3 linked regions of the Cricetulus griseus genome follow. The protein of the gene in region 3 purifies or fractionates together with the protein of the main gene of each other region. This does not show direct contact. Links are inferred from orthologs where the notes say so. Each region holds a gene or a part of one and is shown on either strand. Other genes may lie near its edges. The genes, in order: Cd36, Skap1 and Fyn.

Evidence for each region.
Region 1: the proteins of Fyn (region 3) and Cd36 purify together in Homo sapiens (affinity purification with western blotting; 3 studies listed by BioGRID). This does not show direct contact. The link is inferred for Cricetulus griseus from reciprocal best matches to the Homo sapiens genes FYN and CD36.
Region 2: the proteins of Fyn (region 3) and Skap1 purify together in Homo sapiens (affinity purification with western blotting; 3 studies listed by BioGRID and IntAct, with this or other methods). This does not show direct contact. The link is inferred for Cricetulus griseus from reciprocal best matches to the Homo sapiens genes FYN and SKAP1.

The regions. Positions count from the first base shown.
Region 1 is NW_023276806.1:176,317,519-176,328,082, reverse strand, and holds part of Cd36 (platelet glycoprotein 4), read right to left. Parts: intron 10,310-10,564; coding exon 10,263-10,309; intron 7,400-10,262; coding exon 7,330-7,399; intron 6,297-7,329; coding exon 6,109-6,296; intron 4,988-6,108; coding exon 4,869-4,987; intron 3,412-4,868; coding exon 3,338-3,411; intron 2,852-3,337; coding exon 2,797-2,851; intron 2,061-2,796; coding exon 1,896-2,060; intron 1-1,895.
Region 2 is NC_048600.1:109,631,908-109,642,571, reverse strand, and holds the start of Skap1 (src kinase-associated phosphoprotein 1), read right to left. Parts: upstream 6,233-10,664; coding exon 6,178-6,232; intron 1-6,177. UniProt on the Homo sapiens protein: Positively regulates T-cell receptor signaling by enhancing the MAP kinase pathway. Required for optimal conjugation between T-cells and antigen-presenting cells by promoting the clustering of integrin ITGAL on the surface of T-cells.
Region 3 is NC_048595.1:262,061,501-262,071,279, reverse strand, and holds the end of Fyn (tyrosine-protein kinase Fyn), read right to left. Parts: intron 4,102-9,779; coding exon 3,893-4,101; 3' UTR 2,928-3,892; downstream 1-2,927. UniProt on the Homo sapiens protein: Non-receptor tyrosine-protein kinase that plays a role in many biological processes including regulation of cell growth and survival, cell adhesion, integrin-mediated signaling, cytoskeletal remodeling, cell motility, immune response and axon guidance.

The sequences.
Region 1 (10,564 bases), on a different chromosome or scaffold from region 3:
CACTTAGTGATGAAGACATTAAAAGTTTTTAATTGTTTTTACCAATTAGTCATAGAAGAATCTAAGGAAATTTGTATTGGAGGATAATTAAGCAATGATTAAGTTAATCATGTAATTAAAGAAAATTATAACTTGCATAGGTATGCTTTTGTACTTGAGGAGCGATTTGATCAATTTTAGTGGATAGTTTTTTTTAACCTATCATAGACACATGAATATACATCATAACTTGCTGTCGGGCTAACAGGAAATATTAAGGTATTTTAACTTTTGGAGGGGAATATTATTTATTTTCTTCTGTTTTTTATTGAAAATAATGTTTCTGTGCTGTAGATTTAGCTGCTTTGATCTCATGAGTCGGATGAGTATTTTTCCTGCATGTATATCTGTGTATCAGCCTGTGCAATGACTGTGGAGGCCAGGAGCAGGCATCAACCTCCTGCCCCCAGAGCCAGCAGCCACCTTCTGGGTCCTTGGGAAGAGCAATGATGCTCTTAGCTTCCCTGACATTACTCCCCCTCCTATGTTAACTATTACAATGTGGACATGTCAGGTTAGCATTCTAAGCACATGTTGTGCAAACAAATTTTAGAATGAGTGGTAGAAATTATCCAGAGCACAACATTGAGCTGCTTTATCCAATAAAAATGTTCAATTTCCCACAAAATAAATATTGGTAAAATTCCACATTAGTTTTGAAAACACTAATGTGATTAACCTAGACTTCAACATAGACAATTAGATATTTTATAATATTCTATAATGTCTCAGAAGACATATCATAGTGTTTAGTTCAAGTTACTGGAAACACAAAAAATTCAGTTAGGAATGATGTGATAATTCTTGTAAAATGTCTAGCATGACTGGGTATTGGTGGTGCAGGCCTTTAATTCCAGCACTTGAGAGACAGAAGCAGGTGGATCTCTGTGAGTTCAAGGCCAGCCTGGTCTACAGAGAGTGCCAGGATAGACTCCAAACATACACAGAGAAACCCTGTCTCAAAAATAAACAAAACAAAATAAAAGTCTAGCATGGTTAGTATTTGTTCAATATCAGTTAATGAGATAAAAATAAAAATTTCTACATAAGACAATTTATGGTTAATCTCTAACTTAAGGAGAATAAAGCGTTTTATTTGGAATTTCTAATCTTTCAAACCAAGCATTTTCTACTCATGCTGCATTTGTTGTGTGTGTGGGGGGCATATATTGGGAAATTTTCCTTCCAAGTTAGTTCACTTTTAGCCCAGGCTAATTTACTTACACTTTCATTTTTATGTAGAAAAACTTGGACATTAATATACATAGTGCCTTGAACACCCTCAAAAGTTTTGCCAAAACTCTTAAGTATTATCTACAATTACCTACTTTTGCTTTAAACTAGGTTACTCAATTAATTAACTGATTTTCTTGTAATTTTATGTTCTAATTTTCACCTAGTGATTTCTTTATCATCAGGATGCTATGCTGTTAACCCATGAATGGGAAAAGGTATGGCTAATGTGTATAGGCAGCCAATCAAGTTTTATGATGATATTTGTTTACATTGTTTCATCAAAATCTATATATTCCTATATCTTCATTTTTTATCTTGCTCTTATGAATTTCAATCTACTAAAATTTTATAATTATAATTTTAATAAATTATAATTTTCAATGATTGACACAAAAGAAATTTGTAAGTCTAAATTTAGACAAAAGCTATATTTATGCTAATTTTACAGTGGTCACCATTTAAATAATCATTTGTTTTTTAATTTACCAAAATCAAAATTGGGATTTATATTAAGATATTATAATTGGCTAAACATGTCTAGAAATATTTTGCCCTAATTTATAGCCATTTTTAGTAAGATGAAAATAGTAAAAGAATACATACTTTGCTAGAGCACTTACTTATTTTCTATTCTTGGATCTGCAAGCACAGTATGAAATCATAAAAGCAACAAACATCACGACTCCAAGCCCAAGCAAGACCATTTCTACCAGACCAAGAAGCTTTACTTTTCCAGTCACTTGATTTCTGAACATTTCTGCTTTCTCATCGCCAATAGTTCCAGTCTGTAATCAAGTTAACAATTAATATTATTTGAGTAAATTAATGAAACAAAATAATTCTATGCCATCCTTTCTTTAAACATTTGGGTAAGGATAAGCTGCATCAGAAAGTCAGTACAATTCACTTTGCATCCAAAAGTAGATGCACTGCACAGGCCAGTGTACAGATGTCTCCCTTCCCACTTGGCTTATGTGAATAGAACTCAGCTATGTACCAACATTCATTTGATCTTTGGAATTCTTTGGTATTTCACAACTTACCAAATGTTGCTTCCTGGTGTCAGGGAGAAATTGCAGAGATCAACAGTTGTGCTTGCTTTGAGGGTTTTTGCAATGCATTTTTTAAATCTGTGATTAATCAATTTAGCAGTTTACAGTAAAATAGCTTATCGGTCAAAAGGTTGTCAGTATATTCTAATATGTCATGTTTAGGAAAAATTGGCTTTTTAATACCACTGTTATATTCAATGAGTCTTGAATTCTGTGATGTTACATGTATGCATGTCTCTTTGTTTAGTACTATGACAAGTAAAATGTGTAAAATCATTTGTCTGTCTTAAAATCAAACCATAAAACTTAAATATCCCTATGTAAATTAGCTTTTTTCTAATAGAGATGTCAAAGTGTAAGATCATGTTTATAGGAAATGTAAATACATCCTCAAATATTATAGTACATGTCATTTAAAAATACCAAATCTTTTGCATAAACTGTAATTAATGAATAATAAAATACTAACCTCATTAAGCCAAAGTATAGGTACAATATAATTTCTCTTCAGATTCTTTAATGCTCTATAATACACATCAAAAATAGTTATTGGTATATTCATACATATATAAAAGACATTTAGAATAAATAAATTTTCAGAATTCAATTAATCTCATGTATTGCTCAAGTTCTGCTCAATGAATACATTATAAAACAGATGTTTTCCAGATTCTCAATTCATATAGCTAATGTATATTTCTAATTATATTATTGGTTTATAGGTACAAATTTAAATCTAGGAAAGTATATGATATAGAAGTGATTGTAGTAGTAATAATGCACATAAGAGAAGCCCCCAACAACATTCAACTAACATTGTTAAAATATCTAAAAGCCTTTTCAATAAGCACTATATCTGATTCTTCTAGTAAAAAGAGTCCTAAGCATTTAATAATTGTGCAATGACGTAAAGATGAAAAACCCTAAGACATTCCAATTTTACTATTCTACCCACATTATTGTAAGAAAATGCTACTCACTGCATAAAACAACATGTTAAAGAGACTCACTCAATTTTTCTGGCTGGCTTGACCAGGATGTTCACCTGAAGTCGTTTTGCAAATTGTAAAGTGAATCCAGTTATCTAAAAAGAGGAAGTTAAACATATACAAGCTTCTAAAATATTCTTTTGTAATAGTCAGGTTTTACCATTCTGTGACACAAAGATAGTTCTTTAGAATTTAAAAGGGAAGAATTCTTAAGGATGGGAAATTAGAGTTTATTAAACTTTGTGCTTAAGTATATGCAATCATGTCCAACATGTGTTTGTGCGCACACACACACACACACACACACACACACACACACACACACACACATATATATATATATCTTGAGAGAGAATTTTCTTGTTCTAGCTAACATTAAAGTTTTCTTTAAGTTGTTAAATCCACATAATTTGGCTTAGAAGAAATCAAAAACATTAGTAAAAAATATAAAAAAGGCAAATTCAGATAGTTAATTTAGTTCCTAAATTATATGTTCAGATATTTATTTAGTTACAGTCCACATATCAGTAAAAGGCTCTGTTACAGACTTCCATTATTTTAGCAGAAATATGTCCCTCACAGTTCTTAGAAGCTGAGAGCTAGTCTCAGAGCATACATGCCTGGCAAATGTTAGACCACTGAGCTGCAACCATAGTCTCCCTTCAAGGTTTTGAAAAGAACACTAAGATAATTTAAATGTTAATAGTTGTACTATAACAGTAATACAACTGTTATACATTTGTCTGGTTATGGATTTTCTCTGAAACTTACATATAATGGTAATATCTTTGATTCCTGAAAGCAAAGATTCCTCACAAAAACAATGCCAGTTAAGTGTGATAATGATAATGATGATGATGTATGAAATTATTATTAGAAGTAGAGGAGAGGAGTGATGAGCAAAGGGGTCAAGACCAGGTTGGTGAAACCCACAGAAACAGCTGACCTGAACAAGGGGGAGCTCATGGACCATAGACTGATGGCTGAGAGGCCAGTATGGGACTGACCCAGACCCCCTGAACATGGGGTCTTAGGTAATAGATCAGTATTTATCCATGGCACATGAATGGACTTTGGGAGCCCATTACACATGGAGGGATGCTCTTTCAGCCTGGAAACATTGGGGAGGGCCTAGACCCTGCCTGGGATGATATGATAGACTTTGGGGATCTCCCATGGAGGGCCTCAACATCCCTGGGATGTAGAGGGGGAGATGGAGTGAGAAGTTTGGGGGGTGTCCATTGGAGGTGGAGGAGGAGGGAAGGGAGAGAGAGCTGAGACTGACATGCGAAGCAAGCTTGTTACTAATTTAAATAAAATTAAAAAAAAAGAATTCCTGGATCCTTAGGCCAGTAAAAGCCTTGTAAGATTTCATGTGTTAAAACCAAAATTGAATTATATGCCATGTATGCATAGAATAGGAAGAAATAAGTTTCTAGCCGCATTGGCAGTTTTAGCGATCTTAAGGATATGATCCAAGAATATGATAAAATTATTTTCTTAAATTTTAGAAGAATATTAACCAAATCAGATCAATAAGACAACAACTTACAGGCTCCACATCCAAGTATGTCCTATGTTCTTCTTCATTTGGATTTAAGCCTTCAATAGGTTCTGAGATGTCAGGACTTGCATGTAGAAAATGTGGAAGGGAAATGTACACAGGCCTTCCTGAAGACACATTTTAAGAGACAATTGGAAATAGATTATTTTTCATTGCATAGAATCATTTAAAATATTTGTTAGAAGATAAAGCTTTCATAGATTAAAATATAAATGTTTTTGAACTGCTGAGGGAAGAGAATTACACCTGCTTATTATTATGCAGCCAGCTGACATCTGTTTCTTCAGACACTGATTTCCAGAATTCAAATGTTCACCACTAAACCAAGTGAGAACAGCACATATCTGGGCGTCATACATGTTCTCAAACTTCAGGAGGTGCTATGACAGCACTGAACATCTCAGTAATTTGTATTTTCTTTATTCTTACTGTACTATAAAGAATGTAAACAAGACAAGGAAGACTTTGAGTTCTTTACTTTTCACTTCTTACTTTAGGGACATAATGAAAGCTTATTTAATTTTATTCTCTATTTTCTAAGGGCAAAAAGCCACAACCATGGTAGATGGTTAGGAAACTCATTGTATCCTGGGAATTTTCCCTGACCACCAAACAACATGGCATAATACCAATGTGATTTTCCCAATAGCTTAATTTTGCAATACTGAAACACAACGGAAGCCTAAAAAATAAATAAATAAATAAAACACCAAAGATTCACTGTCACCAGAGGTTACCATTATTTCTTTAATTTTTAAATATTTAATAAAAAGAATTATGGGTAAATATTGCATTATATGTTATGATACTTAACCCCTCCATCTACTCTTTCTTGAGGATTCCTTTCCATAACTAACTAGCAGCCCTCATCTAAACTTCCTTGTCACATGAATTTCATTGCTGTATCTTCCCCACTTTAGGAATTCATTCTTGTCTATTATGGTCCCCATTATAATTTCAAAGCTTACACACATACACGCACGCACGCACGCACGCACGCGCACACACACACACACACACACACACACAGGAGAGAAGGAGATTTAACTATACATTCTGCATACAAGAGAAAATTTTTGATATCTATCTTTGTGAATATGCTTTATTTTTCATAATGCAATGTTTTCTAGCCCTATCAAAAAGTATGGTACAACTTAATTAATAAAATTCCCAAGTATTATTAAATAAAGCATATACATGAATTTTGGTAATAAGCACATCTACATACCTTGTTTGCATTTGCTGATGTCTAGCACACCATATGATGTACAGTTATTAGAGATGACCTTTTCAGTGCAGAAACAGTGATTGTCTGGGTTCTGGACTGGTGATGCAAAGGCCTTGGCTGGAAGAATAAATCTGTACACTGGGATTCCTTTAAGTTCAATATCAGATCCAAACACAGCGTAGATGGATCTACATGGATATTTGAAGAAAGAGCTTCATATTAGGAGCCTGAATCCTGTTCTGGAGATCTGATTCATTTATTTAAATCTAGTTTGTGTTCCTGATTTAACTTAGAAAACAGTCATAGATTCCTGATAGAATTTTAAATTCTTAGGAAAAATTACTGGTGTTGTTTTCACTATTTACAACACACCATGATTAAAACCACAAGTATGAAATATGAATTCTTTAGTTCTTAAAATTCTTCTGGGGTCAAGTTTACATGTGAACTGTCATGGGGAATAAAAGTCAAAGATGTTTCTCATAGTTAAATTCTTCTATGCAACAAATATTTATATGACTTATTCAAATTGTTTACATGTGCTCAATTTAAACGAAATTTCCATCTTTTAAAAAGAACTTAAAGAAAGAGCCTGTCTCCTGGTGGGGTGTGTGCATGGACCAAATCTCTACCCTCCATGCCCTCCATGCCCAGTTCACTTTGTCACAGCTCATTTAATATTCATTGTTTCTATGTACTGTTAATCCAGTGTGACACAGTACTGTTCTCCCAAGTTTTATACATAGGACAATGATTCTGAGGTGTCTAAAGATTGCTTAGTCTCATCTTCAGGGATAGGATTGAGGATCAGGAGTAGTTGTGAGGAGTTCAATACTCATGGGTATATTCTAGAAGCCACCAACTTTAAAAAGTTACTGTGTGAATTATTAATACAGCTCTATAACAGATATGTCATCCTGTCTAGATATCTTCAGAAAGACCAGGCATTCCCTTGATTGATGGATGTTGGAAGTTTATCAGCAGACATGATTAATAGTACTAAGAAATGATTACAAAATGGCTTCCACTAAAAAAAAAATGTTCAGTTGCATAGGCTACCTTGAAATAATAAAGAATGTTAATTCCATATTGCCACATGCATTCTTAAGAAAGCAAGAGAAATATTTGTCTATTTTTCAAATAATGTAAATAATTAGGCTTTCTATTTTTTGTATTAAGACTGGAATGGTAAAAGTCTATGTTTACATTCCAGAAACTTACCTGCAAATGTCGGAGGAAAAAAACCGCAGTACCCGAGACTTCTCAACAAAAGGTGGGAAAGAGGCTGCATCTGTTAACGATCAAGCCAGTGACAAATGTTTTTAGGTGATGTGAACCCAAGAAAATCCTAGTAATCTCTCTTTCTAGTGTAGTCAGCAAATAAAACATGAGTTGTGTATATGATTTTAAATATACCAGTAAGAGAGGTATTTTCAGAAAATAAAAAGTAGTATATTTCATATATTCAAATATGCACAAGTTAGCTTTCAACATATAATCAAATATTCTTTATTGTCAAAGCATAAATATACTTCCAGCGTATTTCAATTATAACAGATGTCCTAGCTATCTTAATCATTTTGATGAAGCCTAGACTGACTTGAGTCGTAAACCTCTATTGAAGAGTTGCCTAGATCTTATTGGCCCATGAGCATATCTGTAAGGGAGTGTGGCATATTGAATAAGAGAGGTCCCATAGCTGGGTAGTAGTGGAACATGCCTTTACTTTCAGCACTCACAAGCAGATCTTTGTGAGTTCGAGGCTAGCCTGGTCTAAAGAGTGAGTTCCAGGACAGGTAAGGCTACACAGAGAAACCCTATTTCAAACAAACAAACAAACAAACAAACAACAAAACAAAAGGCTCTCATAGGCAGAAATTTGAATGCCTAGTCATCAGGGAGTGTCTCTACTTGGGAAGAATTAGCAGACAGGGCCTTGCTGGAGTGGGTGTGGCCTCATCGGAGGAAATAAGTCACTGAGGGTCGGCTTTCAGGTTTCACGAACCCAAACCAGACCCAGTGTCTCATTCATCCTTCTCCCTGTAATTTAGGATGTAGAATTCTAATTTCTCCAGCACCATGTCTGCTTGCATGCAGTCATGCCCCCTTTCATGATGGCATTGGAGTAAACCTTTGAAGCAATAAGCCAGCCCTAACTAAATGGTTTTCTTATAAGAGTTGCCATGGCCATGGTGTCTCTTCACAGCAATGGAACTGTGACTAAGACAGAACTTGGCATCAGGAAGTTGGTATTTCTTTGAAACACCTGACAATGCTGCCTGTTGGCAGAAAGTAGACTTTGGAACTTTGGCCTAGAAAAGCAGTGGAATGCGTTAAGTGGGCCTTAATTGGCCATACTATTAGGAGAATGGAAGAGAGTGCTGAGGACTATTTGAACTGTGAAACCTTGCTCAAGATTGTTTAGAGGAAAAGAATATTAGCAAGTGGCTTAGACACAACTTAGGGACCATTTTTGTGATATTTTGGCAGAGGTTATTCATCTTCATTTTTGAACCAAGGTATCTCTTACTGGGCTTTGAAGCTTACTGAATCGGCTGGGTAGGCCAGCCAGTGAGCTCTAGGAATCCACCCACCTCAGCCTACCCAGTTATAGAATTGCAAGTACACTCCACCATTTCCAGTGTTTTAGTTTGTTTGTTTGTTTGTTTGTTTGTTTGTTTGTTTTCCCATGGTAGCTGAGGACCTAACTCAGGTTCTGATACTTGGTTGTCAAACTGTCTACTACCCAAAGGATAACCCCATTTCCAGAGTTGCTTTTTTGAACAGAAGCACTCTAAATGTGTATCAGTCCTTTCAGTGGATGTGTTTCAAACTTCAGGAAAATGTACCTTTTTATTATGATAGTCACATGCTGGCATCTTTGGTTCAGTGACCATTTTCTCCCTCCTGATCCCAAATCACAGGAATCTTTTCATATCTATGCATCTCTATTTCTACTCAGTTTTATTTCATTAGTCTACCTCAATATTCTCTGCTTCATGGCTGATGGTCCTGTCATTGTCACTAATAAATTCCCAAAGCTATGCCTTCTTTAGTTAAACCAATTTTAGTTCCAAACAGAATTCTTAATGATTTTTCTCTTATACACAAGGCATTCCTTACTGCTTAGGAAGAGCATAGAGCATTTCTCTTTGTCTAAGGATTATTAGGGTTATGTAACAATGAAAGTATTGACACACTTGAAAATTTATTTGGAAACTTGCCCTTAGAAGACATTAATACCTTTGCTCCAGCTTACCCACCCTATGAGACAGAAGAAAATTAAATAAACCTGCAAATCTCAATCATGCCTTTGAGAATGTAAACAGCCCCCATGTGCTTCCTTCTCTATTTAACTTTCATTATCTTCATTATGTACTTTCCCTATTGAATATTTCCTCACCTACTTTGTAAACATTATACATATGCTTCTCACTAATTAAAAGCTTATCTTTGAATTAAATTACTTCATGATCAATGATCCATTGTGCTGTACAATCATAGTTCTTGCATGAATGGACAGTGTGACCTGTGCTTTTCTTTGAGGACAGTAATAATCCCAAACTAACCATATCCTAAATCAAAGACTTCAGCTGTTGCTTTGCTTGTCAAATCTAATTTAGAGAACATATTTAAGCATATATTCTTCACTGGTAGTAGACATCCAATCTTATTTAATTTTGCTTTTCACCCATTCTGACCCACTTGCCCAAAATAGGTTGCTTCTGTTCTAGAATCTTGCTGCCTCAAATCTCTGTTCTGTGTCTCACTTTGGGATATGTTTGCCTATTCGAAATTATATCTTTTCACATCTAAGTTATCAACCTAATACTGAGAAAACATTGACTGGTAATTACACTTCTACATTTGGTTTTAACCGCTTTTTGGATGCTAGCTCACTAAGTGAGATATTTTTCAAAGCAGAACTTTTCTATCAATGAAACAAGGCTGATTTTCTGTGGTAAATCTAAAAAGCCCTGCCCACCTAAACGTGATAGCCCCTTCCTGACCCTACCTGAATATAAACATTCCCAATTATGTTGACTGGTAAGCACAGCACTTCAACCTTCAGAATCCATTTTGCTGGGAAGTAGCTAGACTTGTGGAAAAGGTGAGATTTTCTCATTGTGGTCATTACAACAAAATATTCTTACCTGTGCCATTAATCATGTCACAATAACTTTCCCAATAGGACAAATTCCTTAAGAATAAAAGAAATAAGATGAAACAAATGCTCCTGTATCAAGAACACCATATTCATATATGCTTTCTACTTTGAAACACTACTTTTATCAACATAATGAAGAATAGAGGTGGTGACAGTTTGGATTTAATAAACATTTCACATCATTCAATCCATGATTGTTTGATCCTCTGATCTTACTTCAATAAAGGAAGTACTGGCAATCTTAACAGGACAGAAAATAAAACACAAGCCACTAAGTACCAAGTTCAT
Region 2 (10,664 bases), on a different chromosome or scaffold from region 3:
TCCCCTCACTGAAGACAAGTGACACCAGAGAAACAGCCATCCCGGAGTGCCAAAGTGCTAAAACATATGGGTCCGTTTGAAGCATCCTCGTGCTTAATTTTCTCAAAAGACAATGGGCAGTTTCATGCACAGGTTGCAACAATGCACTGCACAGTCTATTACACACATCCAAGCAAAAATGTGCCTCAAAAACATAGTGTCCCAGTAGGGAGAGACCCTGGATACCTGTACTGGGCATGGTCACAGTACAGTTATCCAGGGTCTCTCCCTACATGTCCCAACAGCACAGAGGGTGGGGAAACCCTAATAGCCATCAGATATTAACTCTAAGTAGATCTCGATGAGTTAAAGACAAAGCAGAGTCACTGGAGTCACCTTATCAAGCCAAACCAGGGTCCCAATTTTTTAAAACAACAGAAATTCAAGTGAGTGCTCCAAAGCATTTGATTAAGGTTTTATAGGCAAGTGTAACAAAAAAATTGGCAACTGGAAAAAGAATAATAAAATAAGAGTAAATCTTCCTATAGTGATAGTTACAGAAAAACAAACTAATCCAATTTAAAAGCAGAGAGGGAGGCACAAGCTTCCCAAAAGCAGAGAGACAGATAAACACTCAGGAAGTCTGGGAAAGCCCTATAGAAACTTACTATTTGGTAAGTTTCCTTTAAAATAGACTCACACGCTGGGCAGTGGTGGCACACACCTTTAATCCCAGCACTCAGGAGGCAGAGGCAGGTGGATCTCTGTGAGTTCGAGGCCAGCCTGGTCTACAAGAGCTAGTTCCAGGACATCCTCCAAAATCACAGAGAAACCCTGTCTCAAAAAAAAAAAAAAAAAAAAAAAAAAAAAAGATGAACACACGGTGGAGGCAGAATACGGACTTATGCTGCACCGGGGCGGGGGTGGGGTGGGGGTGGATACGTGCCTCCCAAAAGCCATAGGTTTCCAAATAAAAAGCCTAGTGCCATGTGTGGACTACCTCCCATCCCCATCAAGCTATTGGTGGTGGGCAGGAGTTACCAAAGACCATGAAAACAGCACAGCCTGTTGCCATTGCTCTAGGCTGCCTATTAGAACTTGATAGTAAGGCCCTACTGCTGAACACATCATACACTGTAGACTGAAGTTTCTGTCCCACCTGGTCCCACGCTGGTCCCACATCCCTTTGGTCCCAAATAAACACACAGAGGCTTCTATTAATTATAAACTGTTTGGCCTATGGCTCAGGCTTCTTACTGGCTAGCTCTCTCTTAATTATTAACCCATTTCTATTCATCTTTGTATGTCCACATGGCCTTATCTTACCAGCGAGTGCCTGGGCGTCCTACATTCCCAGTAGCTACATGGTATCTCTCTGGTGGTTCCTCTCTACATTCCTCTTCCAGAATTCTCCTAGTCTGGTAGCCCTGCCTATACTTCCTGCCTGGCTATACCCTTCCTGTCCATTGGCCGAAACAGCTCTATTCATCAGCCAATAAGAGAAACACACATTCACAGCGTACAGAAGGACATCTCCCATTAATACACTTTGATCATAGGGTTTGGAGAGATTAAGCTGGTGCTATCCTGGAAGCATACTACATGCTGGCTAGTTTTCATAGTACCAGAAGTTTTACCAGCTGTGAAGGCTGAGAGCTAGTGATAACCAGCCTGGCAAGATACTTCTGAGGTGCAATCGTGACATGAACGTTATAGGGTAATCAACCACTTTTTGATTGGATTTAAGGCCTGCTCCATAGGAAAAAACTCATGCCTGGTGCAAAAATGCAGCCAAAAGCCTATGATGAGGGAGTTCCATTGGCCTTAGGGATGAACCTACTATAATTTTACTAATATGCCTTCTGAATATATCTTTCTATCCATAGATAAGTGCATCTCTCGGACCTCATCAGAGAAGCTTTTTGGTATGGACAACAGCAGCTAATGCAGAGACTTACAACCAGTCATAGTACAGAGAACAGGTGTCTGTGGAGGGCTCAAGAATAAAATAGACGTTTGAAGCATACTGCCCTCTCCTTGATGCTCAGAAAACATTGTGGAGCAGAGGACAAAAAGACTGCAAGTGTCACAGGGTGAAACAGTCCTCTGAACATGACAAGACCCTTTGCCCTAGGAGCTTACAACAGTCAATTGACCAAGACAGTCAATATTCCAGCATGGGTAGGGAGGGGCAGACCAGCGCCTAACATAAGCTGATGGTTTCTTGGGGAGGGAGAGTCAATTAGGGGTATGGTATGGTCCCCCTGGTAGATTCACCAAGATCCAGGGGATGTCCCATACCATGAGTGTCTGAGTAGGACAAACTGGACTTGGTGGGTTGAGAGGACATGACGTTGAACCGGATGTAGCTGGGATATGAGAGAGGTTGGAGGGGGAGGAAGGCAGTGAATATGATCAAAATACATTGCATGAATGCATGAGATTCTCAAGGAATGAATAAAGATATTATACTAAAACCTGTAGACTGAATTATATGTTGTCTACAAGAAATACACTTTAATATTAAAACACAGGAAGGCTGGAAGTAAAAGAATGGGAAACAATCAGCAAGACAGACAGAAAGACTAGGGAAGTCAGAACTGCCGCAGTGATGTCAGGCAAAGTATTCTTCAAGGCAGGGGAAAATACCAGAGATAAAGAAGGTTATTTCAAAATGACAAAAGGGCCACATCACTGGGAGACATAACAATTACAAAAGAATATGAACCCAGTAACTGAGCTTCCAAGTACTTGAAGCCAACTGACCTTTTTATAGAACAATATGTCCCATTGCTCTCTCCCTCTTGTCAGTGCTGATGAACCTGGGAACTTGTGTGTTCTAGGCAAGTGTTCTGTTGTTCCCATATCTCTAGCTCTATTAAGTCTTGATTAAAAATTTAAAAGAGAGACTGGAGTGATGGCTAGGTAGGTAAAATGCTTTCTGTTCAAACACAAGGACCTGATTTCAAATTCTGCTACCCAAGTAAAACCTGGGTACAGCAACGCTTGTAACACAATACGTGTGATCCCAAAGCTGATTAATCACCTGTCTGTAGCCGGGCGGTTGTGGTGCATGCCTTTAATCCCAGCACTAGGGAGGCAGAGGCAGATGGATCTCTGTTAGTTCGAGGCCAGCCTGGTCTACAAAGCAAGTTCCAGGACAGGCTCCAATGCTACAGGGAAACCCTGTCTCGAAAAAACAAAAACAAAAACAAACAACAAAAACAGAAGAAAGAAAATGACCCACAGCTGGATTTTATAGAGGCATTTCTCAATTAGGTTGGAAGATCTCAAATGTAGACTGTCATGACATAACCATCCTACAGATGGATGGAATAGCTTCACTGGAAGGAAAGGTGTTGACATAAGTAGACTCGGAAATGAGGAGTCAGTAAAATGACCATCCATGGTGCTGTGTGTGTGGCGGGGTGGGGGGTGGGAGGGTGTCTGTGTCTGCCTGTGCAAGTCTGTGTGTGTGTCCGTGTGTGTTTGTGTGTGTGTCTGGGTCCACATCTGTGTGTGTGTGTGTGTGTGTGTGTGTGTGTGTGTGTGTGTGTGTCTCTGTGGGTGTGTCTGTCTATGTGTTTGTGTGTGTAGTGCATGCTCACACTTATACTAGAGATAGAACTCAAGTCAGACAAGGATACAAGGTAAGACCTTGACAAAAAAAAAAAAAACATCTGAACAACAACAAAATAATCTTGAATTATAACCCAAATTATAAATAAATACTCTTAAGTTCATAAGTAATATAAGTAATTAAGTAAATTAACAAATGGGAAGTAAAAGACAGATCTATAGTGTAGAATTCAAAATAATTTATGTAGATATTTTACTCCAAGATAAAGGAAACATACCTCCCAATCCTTGGGTATGGGCTGTACACAGCCACTTTCTTCCAAAAGACTGCAGAAAGGAAAGGGGAAATAGAGCAACTCCACAGAGGAGAAACTTGACACCAGCCAGGTGTTCATGGTTCAACATCAACCATCATAAATCACACCGACAGTGTGGACCCTTGATGCAATGTGGTGAAAATGATACTTTTGTGATCTTCCTCCCTTAAGCCTGTAACCCAGTCTAAACCTGAGAAGAATGCTAGACACATTCTAATACAGGGTCATTCTGACATTTACCTGACCAGCACTCCTCAAAAGGTTACACTCATTAAAAACAAAGGGAGTGTGGGAGACAGTCACAGCTGTGAGGCACCCAAGAAGACCTGACTGTATCCTGGATAGGATCCTGAGATGGAAAAAGGGCATTAAGTAAAATCAGGAAAACTGAATGAACTGTGGGTTTTAGGTATGTGATGATGCTGGTACGTTAGACATAACCAAAGCACCTGTCATGGCTAATCTTGGCTGTCAGCTTGACTACATCTGGAATCAACTAAAACCCAAGCAGTCGGGCATGCCTGTGAGGGATTGTCTTCATCTCATCATTTGAGGTCAGAAGACCCACCCTAAATCAGGCTCATTTGAGGTCAGAAGACCCACCCTAAATCTGGGCCACACGTGCCGGTAGCCGCCCACATAAGAGGCCACGGAAGGAGGAAGCTTTTCATTTTGCCTGCTTGCCCTCTCTCCCACCATCAAGTTCAGCTATGTGGCAGCTGAGAGGTTCCTTTGCTGTTATTAGAACCCCCGTCTTCAGTATTTCAACACAGACCAGAGACCAGCTGAGATGTCTAGTTTCATGGACTGAAAAACTACTGGATTCTTGGCCCTTCTGTTGGCAAAGTGCACTGTTGGACCAACCAGACCACAGCGTGTAAACCATTCTAGTAAATTAATTCCGTTTCATGTAAATAGATCCATTCTATCAGTTCAGTTCCTCCAGAGGACCCTGACTAATGCAACACCACACAGACGTAAAATGTTCTAATTAAGAGAAAGTGGAGGAAAGAGAAGGGTTAAGGGAACTTGGCATCACCTGTTTAATATTCATGTAAACCTAAACTTTCCACAAAAATTCAATTAGTAAAAGCTGTAAACCATGTAATCTGAATGCGCTAAATCTGATTATTTAGCAAGATGGGTAAAAAACGCTAGCTTCCAAGACTGAACACAGGAGTGCAATTCCTGTGTCCCTTATGGTGGAAGGAGAAAATCAAGTCCTGAAAGTTACACACACACACACACACACACACACACACACACACACACACACACAAACTAACTAGAAAGTTAAAATATAGGGCTCGGTGCATTCATTTTAGAGTCACTGCCACACTCCGGTTGGGCACTGTGATGAGCATCAGAACTTCAGCAGAGGTCACTACCAGGTGGTGGAACGGCAGCTATTCTTACCATCTTATTTGTATTTCTAGATGTGTGTCTATTTCTAAGTTGTATGTTTCAGAATAGAAAAAAATAGTACAATAAAAATCAGTGTAAACCCTGAGATACTCACGGTTTAGAGACCCTTTACTTTCCATTCCCCACCCTGGATTCATTCAGTGGTAGAGGACCTGACTGGCTTTCACATAGTCCTTAACAGGGTAGGGTTCCAATGGGCAGGTACAGGAAGTGGGCAGCAAAGATGATGCTATGTTTGGGTCCTATGGCACAAGCCCATGATCCTAGCTACTCAGGAAGCTGGGGCAGGAGGATGGAAAGTGGAAGGCCAGCCTTAGCAATTCAGTGATGCACTTTCTCAAAATAAAAATACAAAAGGCACTGGAGATATTACTCAGTGATAGGGTATTACCTACCTTGCTCAGGCCTGGGTTCAGTCTCCTGTAGTATATGATGATGATGATGGTGATGATAAAGAAATCTTATGTGATGTGGTAAGTCAAACTGTTCACTTTCTTCTTGTAGAACACACATGGATATGAACTTGTGCACACACACACACACACACACACACATACACACACACACACACACACACACACACACACACACACACACACGCACACACGAAATCATTGAATTTACCTACTAAATTCTTCCTCCACCCAGTTTTACTGAGGTAAAGTTGATATTGGTCCTTACTAAGTTCTTGTAAGTAAAATACCTGCCTACTCCATATGCGGAAATGTACCAATGGGTTATAATTACGGCCCTGTCGAGGCTGCTAAGGATGAGTTGATTCTTTTCTTAAAACTTGTCCTGTTTTAGTTTTCCTTCCGATTAATTATGAGAAAGCCTTTCCTTAGATACTTCAGGAGTGAAGTGTTTGTTTCTTTACCTGCAATCAGCATCTTCTTGGAGAAGTAAAAAGACACAATGATGACCTCTGCCATTGATCTCATTGTTTATTTAGAATGCACTCTACAGATACACCCACAAGCTTTCTAGGTGAAATATAGAGCCAAGAAAACAAGAAGTCAGAAGGAAGGGCTACATGCAGGCTTGTGTTTTTGATATTGCGTTCAGCCTCCAGCAAAATCCTGATATGAAAACACTAAGGAAAGAAATTAGAGAAACTACTTCACTCTTTGATTGAGAAGGTGGAGCTTCTCACGGTGAGAACCCAAGGGGCCTGGGCAAGCCGTCTCGAAGATGCCAGATAGGAAAGAGATCTCAAGCTGTCCTGCAATGCCCCACCTCTCTCTAGTCACCATTCTGCTAGTAGGTTTTCCCATTAAGTAGATAACAGATTTGCTAACAAGAGCTCTTTGTGGGGACTGGAGCTTGCCTGGTGTATATGCAAGCTCCTGGATTTGACATTTGGCACTCAATTTCTTTAAAAAGCTGCCAGATCGAGATGCCTTGGGGTCTCTGCAACTGCAATATCCAGTGTCAATAAGGAGGATGAGGCACTCATGGGGTCTGCCCAACAGTTGCCTTCAGCTAGAGAGTGAGCAATACCATGTGACACTCAAGTCCTCATAGGAAAAGATGCCAGCCACCTGCCATAAACAATGACACACACAAATGCCTCTATTCTTCATCACGTATTCAATGGGCACCGGGAAAACGAGCAGGACACACACGAGCAAAGGACAGACAGTCAAATGCACAACTAGAATTATGACAGGAGCTACCAAAAAGGGAAGTGCGGAGCGTAGGAGTGACATTCACAAATGTCTCTGGAGGTCAGGGACAGAGGTGAGTTACAGAGAATGAAGAGATTTAAACTTGAAGAGCTAAACAAGGTCAGGAGGGGAAAGAAAGGCGGCAATGTTCATCTAGAAGGCACACTCATAAACACATAGTATGGTGCACTACAGTAACACACGATTGCTTTAAATCTCATATTTAAAAGGTAAACACAGCTTTGGCAAAGACATTAAAATTCACACCTGCCCTAAAAGGAAAACGCCCTCAGGTTTCAGACATCTGTGCAAGGAAGTCAGAACAGGAAAGAAAAAAATAAATAAATAAAGGACTGGGACAAGGGAGTAGAAGGCATGTACCACACTGGAGGCACAATACGGTCATCATGTCCCAGCAAATACCCACTAATGCGCTAAGGCTGCCTGCCAGGAGGGGCCCAGACCTCCTGGTTCAAGGCTAGTAAGAGTGTCTGATATTTTCCCCAAATTCTCTGACCTTGTCCCTTTACAAAGTCACTATTTTGTTTATTTGGAGAAGAATAACATCTTAAGGGTCACATTTTTTTTTTCCTAACGACTGAAAGATAAATGTGGCTTCTTCCTGTTTTCTCAAAAACACTCCTGACACTCTGGGGGGAAAATACTTCAGTCAGTGCCGCTAACAGTTGCAAATGTTCTTTGTTGATATATGTTTCTAAAACTCAAAAGTTTGCTTCAATCAACCTTTTATTTGGAGGCAAGATGAATGACCCAGTGCTGCTGAAAACAATTCCACCAACCAAATACCAATAAAAGTGTTCCTAGAGGGGATATTGTGTGAAAGAATTTGAACCGCTAAAGCAGAACTCGCATTTCTGAGAAGAATAATGGATACATTTCTGCCTGTAACTGGCATTGCACCCAAGAAAACAGTTGAGGTGTTTGTTTTGGTCTGTGGGTAAAAAGGATTAAGATAGGTCAAAAATGTTAATTTTAACTAATTAATTGAATTAATTCCATGGACTTACTGGCTAGTACTCCAGGTTTCTTTTGCTCTAAGAAGAACCCCCAAATTATCTGCATATACCATTTAAGCATAAATGACTGTCCTAGCCAGGCAAGACCACAGAAATGCCCAGCTTCTCTGGTTACATTGAGTTAATCCCTGTTTTACTTCAACAACCCTCTGCTGATTTCTGCCATTAATACCTGACCCTTCCCAGGCTCTTCCTTTTATCAATACATCTCCACACCTTTTCTTCCTTATTGCCCATAGATATTTTATTAGTCAGGGCACACTGTGTGGACAGTTTTGTCTACTGTATTTCTACTTCTAGTTTTTTACTTGCTGTTGTCTGTGAGCATTTGCTTAGGACACCACTACTGTTTGAATGCCTGTGTCTCCCCCAAATCCACATGCTGAAACACAGCCACCAATGTGGTAGTATTAAAAGGTGGGACTTTTGGAAGGTTATTGACTGTCCTGATGGAAGTCAGAGCTCTAATAAAAAGAGGCCCTAGGGTCACTACTTGCCCCTTTTACCACGCAAGGGCACAGAAAGTGTCATCTCTAAAAAGTCAAGCAGGTCCTCACCAGACATCAAATCTGAAAGTGTTTTGGTCTTAACTCCCTAGTCTGGAAAACTATGAAAAATAAATATTTGCTGCTTACAAACTGTTTATAGCATAAATGAATATTTGTGGCTTATAAACTGTTTTGTTAGAGCAGCCCAAACGGCCTAAGACAATTATTAAATACTGCTCCCCTGCCTTCAACGGGCTTAGAAGTTACACATTTTAGCATTTTGTCCGTAGTCTGCTTTACCCTTATGATTTAAAAAAGAATGTAATCCTGTCCCTCAAGTTAACAAATATTAATGAGCTGGTGTCTTTTGGTTCTTTCTGTCAATGTGAAGATTTCTAGCCAAGAAAATAATCAATGTTTTATTATGTACATTATGTTTCAAGAACTTGACATGTGTGCATTTATATGACATTTCAAAATCATATCTATAATAACATTTTTCCAGTCACCCTTGTTGATTGCTTACTTTTTGTATCATGAGCTTCTTTCTTGGACTCTTTGTCTCATCTCAGATATTTAAGCTGTGCTTTCTAACATAGTAGCCACTAACTATGTGTGGCTATTTAGATTTGTTAAAATAAAATAAAAATAAGCTGGCAGTGGTGGTACATTCCTTTAATCTCAGAACTTAAGGGGTAGAGACAGGAGGATGAGGGGTCCAAGGCCAGCCTCAACTATATAGCGGGGGTCAGTCTGGTTTATACGTGGCCCTATTTCAAAAGAAATAGAAGTTATATTTCATGAACAGGGTATTTCTTCTTTAATTTTAGTATTTTCTCGTGGGTCCTGTGTTGCTGGAGTTTTCTTTCCAGCCAGGTCCCGTTGCCGCTTTAGCCCCAAATAAACACACAATATTAATTATAAAACTGTTGGCCAATGACTAGGGCTTATTGGCTAGCTCTGTCTTAATTATTAACCCACTTCTATTAATCTATGTATTTCCATGTGGTCTTGGCTTACCAGAGAATGCCCAGACCTGTTACTCCTTTGTGGTCTTCATAGAGTTCCCTCGAAGTCCCTCTCTGCCTACCTTTCCTGGAATTCTCATTTCCTAGCCTCGCCTATCTTCCTGCCTCTATTGATCAAACAGTGCTTTATTCATCAACCAATAAGAGAAATATATACACAGAAGAACACCCCCACCAGTCCTGTATGGAATGTGCTGTATCCTTGTCCTCTCTGTCCACACTCCAATATGGATGGTTGTTTTGATCTTATGCTCCATTTCCTCATCCATAAAAGGAAAATATTAGTAATACCTGTCTCTCAGAATGATATGAAGATTAAATGGTAGATATTTGAAAATGAGTTAAAACAATATGTATAATGTATTAAGCACCGTATACGTGTCTGATAATTAAGGCTAAGGAAGAAAATAATCTGGAACTCTCTTTCTCCTATCATTTAAACAGATGCAACAAACAAAAGAGGGGGAAATGACATTTCATTTTTAAAACTTATAATTAATTGGAAAATACTATTTTTAGCCAGGCATGATGGCGCATGCCTTTAATCCCAGCACTTCAGAAACAGAGGCAGATGGACCTCTGAAATTGAGGCCAGCCTGGTCTACACAGTGAGTTCCAGGATTGCCAGGGCTACACAGAGAAACCCTGTCTCAAATTAACAAAGGAAGAAAAAAAAGGAAACAAAAAAACAAACAAAAAGGACATACCATTTTTAGACACAGATAAGCACACACTTGAAACAAATCTTTCTGTGAGGTTAACAGAGCCCTCCCCTTCAAACATGCTTAGTCATACAAGACTAGATTGATACAGAATTTTTTAAATGCCACCTTGAAGATTCTACAAAGCAAAATTTCAACTGAAACATCAGAATAGAAACACTGTATGTTTGGGAGTCTACCAAGGTGTAGACGTTCAGCAAACTGCAGGCTAGATAACAACGAAGACAATGGGTCAAACTACTCTCCATCCTCGTAAAGTTTCTCATAGAAATCATCAATAGGCTGGAAAGCAGAGGTTCTCAACCACAGGGTCAAGACCACTTTGGGGTTTCAAACTATCCTTCTATAGATTCCCAAACTGCATATCAGATATTTACATTGCGATCCATAACAATAGCAAAATTACAGTTATGGAGTAGCGA
Region 3 (9,779 bases):
ATCACAAACGACTTATTTATATTTCAACCTCTAGATTTGTGCGTGCACGCATGCATGTGTGTGTGGTGTTAGAGGATGAACTCAGGGCCTCAGGTTTACAAGGCAAGTGCTCTATCACTTAGCTATATGTTCCCACTTTTAATGTAAAACAAGGATATATTGGTCCCCATGTCCTCCCCATAGGATTCTGAACATTTTGCATATTGGGTAAAGATGAGGAATGGTTTGGATGTTATGAAACTTCTCTGAATATTGATACAAACACAAATTATTATGAAGGTTCATTTGATATTTAAAGGATACTACAGTCATTACTTTTTCATTATTTTCTATGGAGTTAGAATCTACATTTGAAAATTAAAAAAAAAATAGACATAGATAATGACGCTGTTCGAGCTGCTTTTTTCCCTCTCCAGGATAAAAAGCCAATCTCCTTCTTTCTCTCCCTCTCATCTTCCCTCCAGAAAATAGATTTTTGACATTAGCCTAACTGAATCTTACAGTATAACATACAATGGAAAGCAAGCCAACAAAAGCCATCTGAATCTATTAAAATATCCTTCAGAACAAGCTGACCAAACACCATTTTACACAAAGATAGCTTGTTAGGAAACACGCAGCCTGTGCGTTTTCTTGTTCTGCGTCATGGCCAACAATAGAGAAGTCATATCTTCTGAAGGAAGCTATGGTGCTATTCTCCTCAGCATGCTGCCCATCAAAGAACCATTCCAATTAACACGGCAGACTCTGTTACAGCCCCATGAGAAATTGTGGACAAAAACTGTGTGCTAGCAGGAAACTCCTCTGCTGCCAAGAGTTAGCCACAGAAGGATTCCTGTCTGTCTCCAGGTGAGTAATATTGAGTCATGTGGAAGGTTTTGAGGGATCATGATCACCCTTGACTTTCCCCATGGAAACACCTGTTCCCACCAGGGCAGGGCCTCGAAAAGTCCATTGAGCTGATGCTGACATGTGGGACCTGGCATCTACCGGGGTCCCATGAGGTATCTCATTGCTGCAACCTGAGTTTGTGATGCAACCACAATGGAGTGAAGAGGAACCCTTTTATCCGCATTTACCCCTGAGCTATGAAAATGGGCTTCTCCAGTCAGCTCTGTGTTGGATTTATTTAGATTTTATTGGGAAGGCATCCTGTGCAGCTGAGCAATGCCAGTTGGTGGCTCTCATAGACAGCAAGTACTTATGTCCTCATTCTGAGTTACTAAACAAAAACAACAAGAATCCCCCCTCCCCAACAAACAAAAAATTCACCTGGGTCACAGGAAAGTGATGTTTTCCTTTGTAGTAAGAACTTTCTGGTAAGCAACTTCAGTTCCCTGACCCCAACACTTATCACTTGTGCCTCCCTAGAGGAGACCTCAGGACCAATCGAGATTAGCATAGAGGTGACCTGGGGACTAGTGCTCGAAAGCACAGTAGATGCTTGGGAAAACCTGGACCCTTCTGATTTCTTCCTGATGGCATTTCTTCTGTTCTTCAATGCTGCACACACATTCCAGAATGCTCCAGGGTTCTGCTCTCGTAAGTGGGCACTGGCGCTGACCTATGTTCTCAGTTTTCCTTTATAGACAAGAACCCACAGTGAACTCACTTGAAATGAAAAGCAAATACGTTTTTTTCTCTAAAAATTTCTAATTAAAACAGTTTCTTTTTCAGAATTTTTCAGTAAGTCAAAACAAAAATCCTCCAGAGAATATTTGCAAATTACCTAACACAAGGTAAGGATTAAAAATAGTTATCTTTATAAAAAAAATCTAGAACCTGTTAATGAGAAGTCCAATGTGATAAAAATTGTACCTAATAAAATTTTGAAATTCTGTCATATCCAAAATAATCAAGTTTTGATTTTAAAATGCTTTATATCCCCCCAATGCTAAAAAGCCTTTTTAAAGGTAAATGTTATTTCTGTAACAATAAAACCCTCTTCTTCATTGTGTGGCTCCATATGACACCAGAGACCCTGGAGTCTTAAGGGTGCAAGGAGAGTGCATCTGTACCTCCTGTCGGCACACTGGCTGGCAGGTGAGACGACGCAGGTTCTGCAGGAATGATGGTGGACGGTTACCTGGCCCACCCACCACATAGACTCCTGCTTAACAACTTCATTAGTCATTAGAAAACATTAGAGAAGTAGAGGGATACTTGGAAATGTATTTATGTCTCAAGATCAAGAAAGACTATTCTCTCTCCTCTACAAATGAGACACAGTAAATTTCATTTAGAGACAGGGTCAGATAGACTACAACACTCAGGAATGCCCAGTTTGGCTGCAACAGTCCTCTGAATTAGTCAGACAATCACTTTGACTCTTAGTGGGGAGGGTCTCCAGATGTTCTGAATGTTTCTGTCATTTGGAAATCATTGCCCAATGGCCAAATTCACCAGGTGATTCTTCACCATCTGGTGTGGGACAGATATGTCACAGAACGCCTATGGTACCTCCTGTGATGTACACAAATGAACAAATTTTTTTTCAAATGTAAAATGCTCTCTTTTTAATTACTAAATTAAGAAAGTTAAACAATTAAAAATGTAAACTCACAAATAAATCATTAACAAAAAAGGAATTAAGACTTTAGAGTTGCTATTCAGTATTAAAAAACTCAATAGAAATAGGAATTGATTTGTTGTTGTTAAACATATGTAATTCAAGGTTGGTACAAACAGCAACTGAAAACGCAACCCTCTTGTGCACCCCCATGAAATGTAAAGTAGTGCATAGTTATTGACTGGAGTACGCTCGACATGGAGAGTCATTCATTAGCAGTACAGGACATTGGAACACTTATTTTACAATGGGACATGTACAACCCCCCACCCTTGCCTTCCCCGTCATTTTTAGCTGCATGAGAAAGTTTAGTAGGCTGCCGTGACTACAATGCTATATGGGTTTTAGACCATTTAAATGTGGTTACAAGATTTATTAAATAAAAGAAGAACATTTAAAACAAGTCAGCATTCATATCTATACAGCAAGTCTATGCGGTCTCCGTCTTGCAGCCCTCAGGGTAGGACTGGATGGCTGCTTGCTTAAGTGTGCTCACTCTCAAGTCGCAAGAACAGATCACAGTACGCTGGAGCGAAACGGGCACTAAAATGCGTGAACTCAGCTCAGGGACCTGAAAAGTCACATGAACAACAATCTACAGGTATGACTGGAACTGAAAAAGTGCAATCCAAATGAAGGGGGGAAAATCATGCTTTGTAGAAGTAAAAAACGGAGGCCACCGGCTTTCAAAATAACACCAGTGCTTAGATGCAGGTTTCCCCAGTGATCCTCACTCTGGGCCCTGTAACTATGTGGCCTTTGCTGGCCACAGTCTCCATGGTAGCACCCACATGGTGTATATACAGGAACATTTTACGTATATATTCATATGTATAAAAAAGAAAAAAAACAAACACCTGTCCTGATCAGTTTTTGTTAAAACATGAAAAAAAATTTTATTGTTTTAGACAAAGAGGCCACTTTTGGAAAATAATACTTTTTTTTTTTAGTTGAATCAGGTGAAGACAGAGTTAAAATCACATAGGATTTGCATTTTGTTTTTTTTTTAAAAAAGGAAAGTACTAGGATTGTTGGCACGGGAGCAGATATTTACACTGAACAGAGGTTGGCCTTTGACATAACATCGATACAATGCATTTCCAAAGTCTGAGAAATAACACGGTTCTGTCTGGATGCTTTCACAGAGGAGGTTCGGACTGGGGGGCAAATGTCATTAATGAGGGCCGTGGAAGTTCGCCGGCTTCAGAGTCACATGCAATCTGATCCTGGACGGTTCTGCTGCTCAGGGCAGCTGGCTACGGAACTGGAAGCTAATGGGGAGGGGTGGGGAGGCCTCAGAAGAGGTCTCTGAAGAGCAGGCTCTCACAGGTTTTCACCGGGCTGGTACTGGGGCTCTGTGGCGGTAAAGTAGTCCTCCAGGAAGCCCTGCAAGTACTCGAAAGTGGGGCGCTCTTCCGGATCCTTTTTCCAGCAGTGGATCATGAGCTCGTGCAGGGAGATGGGGCAGTCCTGTGGGCAGGGCATCCTGTAGCCTCTCTCCACCTGCTCCAGCACCTCCCGGTTGTTCATGCCTACAAAAACAAGGGGCAGTGAGAGCAGGCATGCCTGGGCTCTAGGCCTTGACTACCATGTCACACAGGTAAAGCATAGGGATGCCATTCACCCTCTTGGGAGGGGAACTATGCCTTTCATCGGTTGTCACACCGTGCAGAAAGAACGGAACAAAGGAATGAAGAACTCATAGATGCAAAAGCCCAGACCGTGAATCTCAAAGCACTGCAAGTGAAAGAAGCCAGACACAAAAGGCAACATACTAGATGATTTCATTTATGTTAGACCACAGGAAGGCAGAAGACTGCATGACAGAAAGCAGATCAGTGGCTGCTAGGGGTAGGGAACACCGGTGAAAGGTCAGGGGGAGCTGAGAAGTGAGAGAAGTGGTGTGTCCAATGCCCATGCTTTTCCTGTGAGGGGCCAACAGCAAATATTTTTGTCTGGGTGGGCGAATGCAAGCTTTGTTTTCTTCATGCCACAGAAAGGACTTAAGATAAAACCAGGTGGGCGGCCAGGCTTGGCCCATGGGCTGCAGGCTGTGACCCCAGTGTAGCATGTGTGTACTGACGTGGCTCTTAGACAAAATGTGTTGTGTGTAAATTGTACCTCAGTCAAACAGATAAAAACGTAGGAGTGGGGGACATGGCTTGGTGGCTCTGAGTGTGTCCTGCTCTTGCAGAGAATCTGGGCTCAGTTCCCAGCATGCACACTGGGCGGCTCACAGCTGCCTGTAATTCCAGTTCCAGAAGATCTGACACCTCTGGCCCTTGCAGATACCTGCATTTACATGCAGATATCCCCACACAAACACAATTAAAAAGAAACCTCTGTATGAACAAAGCGCACACACAAATACCCCATGGAATATGAGCAAGCAGTCTACTATTTGCAGAACATACACGATCCATTTAGGGCCTTTATAGTTTTCACCATGCCTGTGCACAGTGTCTGAGACTTGCCCTCATGCCAGCAGGGCTGGGCACCATCTGGCCTGGTGACCCCCATAGTGCTCGGAGGTTTGGGAACTTTTGACAGGGAGGCAGGGCCTTTGTTTATGGATGACCTCGGGCAGGCCATCTATCATCTGACACCTTCCTGCCCCTATGCAGGAACTGCCTAGTGCTGATGTTCTTGACTGGACGTGGCGGGAGGTTGAGCACAGCCTGCCCTGCACTGGCCTTCCTGACAGCACAGGAAATACCACACTTAGTGTGACCTCCCAGCTACTTTCAGGTACTCTCGCCCTTGCCTTTTTTTTTTTTTTTTTTTTTTTTTTGTCTGTCATATCATGCCCTTCTTTCTCTGTGACAGGACCTTGTGAACCTGTCATCTGGAATACTCCCTAACTTCTGACAGTTTACAATCTTCTGTCATCTATAGCATGAAACTCAGGGCTGTCACTAGTAGGGAAGCCACATATATGCAATGCAGCCATCTTTAATTCTGGTGATGGAGGTGACCACCTGGTCAGAATCCTGTTACTTGGCCAGAGGTACTGAGTCCTGTTCCCTTCGGTGGAAGACATGCACTTTTGGATTGGTAGGTGATTCTTAGTTTTACTCTTTGGAAGCTGGGCCTAACCTAGGTCTCCTCGCTACAACTATTCCAGCCACTTGTTTATTCAAACCCCTGTAGGATGCTTTTTCTCTGACCTTACCACTTCTGGAGGTGGTAACATCAGGCCAGCCCCTTGCCTTGGGAGAGGTCAGAACCCAGTGTAGGATTGCCTTCTTCTGTTGGGTTCTGCCTGCAGCTCAGGAGCTCAGATCCTCCTCCCAATTCGGAAGAGCTAGGATCTAGGTGGGGAGCTGGAGGCAAGGGGAGGCACAGGACCACAGCCCTTTCCCAACATGGTAAGGGACAGAGGCCACCACCTCCTCAGCCACAGCGCCGAACTCCAATAAGCTCAGGAAATCAGAAAGCTACTGTAACTCACTTGGCAGCATCACAGATCTGAACTGGCTACAAACCCTCCATGATCTGGTGGTGCTGTGATGGCGCTTACTTTCGCCTCTGTTCCGCCCCAGACTCTTCTTCCATGCTAGGACACACTTCTGTTGCATTGACTAAAAAATAAAAAGTCTGATTCAAATGTGTATCTGTTCCCAGGGGTTTGGCTAAGAAGCTGCGGCCCAAGTGACAGTCACCTCAGGAAGAGAGGGTGCCACACACTGGGACTGGCATTCTCTGAAGCAATTCTTTGCTGCACAATTCAGTAGATAAAACTCTTAGTTTCATAGTGGTTTTGGAATCACACAGCCTGAGTCTGCAGGAGTCTCCCTTGTTCTGGCTCCTGTGAGGAGCCCCTGGAACTGGAGGAAAGATCCAAAGATGCCTGCAGCGTGCAACAGGCTTCTATGGGAGAAGCCACAACATCCCAAACCCATCCCAAGGCTTTGTGTGGTACCAAGTGCCCAGAGCGGCACCGCAGAATCCAATTAGCCACTTTCCCATGGCTCTCTGGATCTTTAGTCAGCAACGTTTTATTTCATTAAAAACCAAACTCCTCAAATGGAAATATTTCCTTTCTTTTAAACTTTTAATTCAGTCTCTGCCAATGGAAACTTTAACTGGCCATTTGGGTCAATCCTGTTTTTCCAGTGTTCTGCCCAAGACTCGGACACAGCAGATATGACAACCTGAATCGGCATGTTACATTTTCTGGGGTGGCCTCCTTTCTGGGTCACTGTAGCCATGGGACAGAGCCATACCCCAGTCTATGCAGGACAAAGACTGGGCCAGACCCCAAGGGCCACACTGTCAGCTTTAATGCATCTTCCTAGCTGGCCACCTCCCTTTCCTGCAGCACCCCTCCCCCACCCCATTCATGCACTCTCTCCAGTCCTCTCCTCTGGGGAGTACATGAACAATTCTATACACTGAGGGAAACAGAAACATGCTGATGACAGATTTGCCAGAAAAGTAGGATATAAGACACTGCAACTGGCTGAGAGTGACAAGTGGATGGGGACTGGGACTTCCTCTCGTCCAACCAGCCAGCGGCCAGGACACACGTGGGCTCTCCTGCAGAACTGGTACTTCCAACAAACCTTTCGCACAGTTCTCAGCAAGGGCTCAGCTAGTTTTCATTTCACAAACAGAACCTCAATTAAACGTGTCATGGTAACATTTTTAAAATGCCCATTACCCAATTTGTTCTCTACCCTCTTCTGTGCTCCACAGCTCAGCTATCGGCGGCAGGCCTCTGCTCTTTCCCTGGAGAGGGGTCATTTGGGAGGATCACTCTCACGTGATCTTGCTAGGTGGCCTCGAGCTCACAGGTCTCCACAACCTGCTGTTCTGAAGTCTCCCTTCAAATCTTTCTTTTGCATTTGCACACATGGTCATGGCTCTCACACGTCCAGTCCTTTTGCCCCTAACACTGTCCTCTGGCCACATGGGCTCATTTGCTTCCTGACATTATGACTGCATTATTCTTTCTGAGTCATTTTGCTGGCTTCCTTCTCAAATACAAGAGGTCAGATTTCCAACCCTTCCTTCCAAACCCTGACTCTGCAGTGGCCAGCACGTAGTCTCATATGCACACACATTTTCTTCTCCCAAAGGGATAACCTCTGGTCCTCACCTCTCCTCTCCTTGAGCATCAGTGCTCTTTGAATACTACACGAGCTCAGGACACCCTCCCCCACTTTTCTTTCAGGCTCTTGAATGAAGGAATAAAAATGACTTTCATTGGCAGAGCACGACGTCACTTCTTGACTTTCTGCCATCCCTCGGGACCTGATCTCCTTCACCCTCAGTTTCCCCTTTTGTCAAACAAACACCTTAGCCATCACCTTGCTGTCAGTTGCTTGTGACAAAGTCTTACAGAAGAAGTACTAATGTTTTACCACTTTCCATTTGTGTGGCTTTCCAAGGGGCCTCAGAGGGGCCATATCTGTAGTCAGCGTGTTTGGTTTTCTGTTCACACTGGCACATGAGTTCCCCCATGGCTGTGGGAATCGGGACTTCTGCGGTGAGTAAATAAATGTTATAACAACGGAAATGACACTCAGGTTACCTGATACCAGATTTCTTTTGCAAACTGAGCTTTTTATTCAAAGGGAACAAGACGATATTGTGTATGAATGAGGCCTTCCGTCTGAGGCCCCTCAATTCTCTGTATAAGCTCTCTAAAAACCCCATCTGCCTGCTCGCTGTTCAAAGTGGCCACATGGTGCTGAGAGAAGGACGTCAGAGTTAATGGCGCTTGCTCAGCACAAGCGTGCACTGCGCCATTGCACGCACTTGTGCTATTAGACTATCACGTGTTTTCTCATCTTACAGGGACAATCAGGAGGCTTGGAGATAAGCTTCGTGGATCAGAGTACACCTCTGGGCCAGAGGGGTGCTGACCCAAGAGTATGGATGGAAAGAAAGGGCTGACCTTGCTTGGGAAGACACAATAATCACTAGTTTTGTTTACTGTTGACCATCTCACCGAACTCCTGGGGGGCAGCTGTTCTTATTAAACCCGCTGTATTAATAAAATCGGAAATGATGGCCGTGGGTGCTACAACATGCAAAGGTTATTTGAAGCTGATGATGTAATATTATGATTTTTTTGGGCTTTTCTTTTCTTTTTTTATTTTTGGAGACCAGGTCTTGCTATGTGGCCCAGGCTGACTTCAAACTAACAGCAATCCTCCTGCCCAGGTCTCCCAAGTAATAGGATTACGAGGCCTCAGCCACCATAGCTGACTTTTGATAATACAGCACTATTAATGATTTGTCTGTCCTCTGAAAAGAGAAGTGGGAGAGGAGGGTGAAGGTGCTAACCAGAAAGGCCGGGCCTGCACAGTAAGACTGGGCGGGTTCAAAATGCACATAGAGCAGAATGTCCCTTCCCATGGTGTCCTCTTGCCTCCACACATTCTCCTGTCTTCTCTTATCCTCTCCTCAGCCACACTGGCCAAAAGAAACCTTGCAGGGTAAGGGCCAGCATTCCATGCAGGCTCCCTTCTCTGAACTGGAGGGCTTTGGCCCTGGGTACCACAGGGGAGCAACCACAGTCAGAGGACATGGCACGCTCTGCTAAGGTTAGCCTCTTCTACCCCCTTTTCCTCAAAGTTCAAACTTCGCTACTTCACACAGAATCTCCCCCTTTCAGCAGCTTGAACACGAGAACTGTCTGTGTGGTGAGGGATCATGGGCGGGGGAGGGCAGGGGGCTCTGTTCTTCCCAGAGGGTGCCAGCAGCTGTACGGTCCTGCCATCCTTATCTCTCCAAGTCATTATCAAGTGACTAGATGCGCTCAAGAAAATCAAGCAGCTGACACTTGCTGAATGATCTGAAGGAGCTTCAAACACATGGATAAACGAACTTGCTTAAGAGAACATACCTGCTCTGCCAGACCTGCCAGCACACAGGCAGGTGTTCAGTTAAGGGCCATGGCACGGCACGGCCAGGACATTCTGCCTATCAGGTTACTAGAGTATGGTATTTGAACACAAGGTCAACTTCCCAGAACTCAGGGGACAGATGTGACCTTGTACCTAGGAAAAGTCGTATTGTGTCAGCCACGTATGAAGACAACTGAATACAGTTAGAAAGGCTTTGCAGGCTAAGGGCCAACTTTAAAAGAATTTTAAAAACCTGCAAGTTCACTGGGCAGTGGTGTTGCACACCTTAATTCCAACACTCAGGGGGCAGAGGCAAGAGGATCTTTGTGAGTTGGAGGTAGCCTGGTCTACAG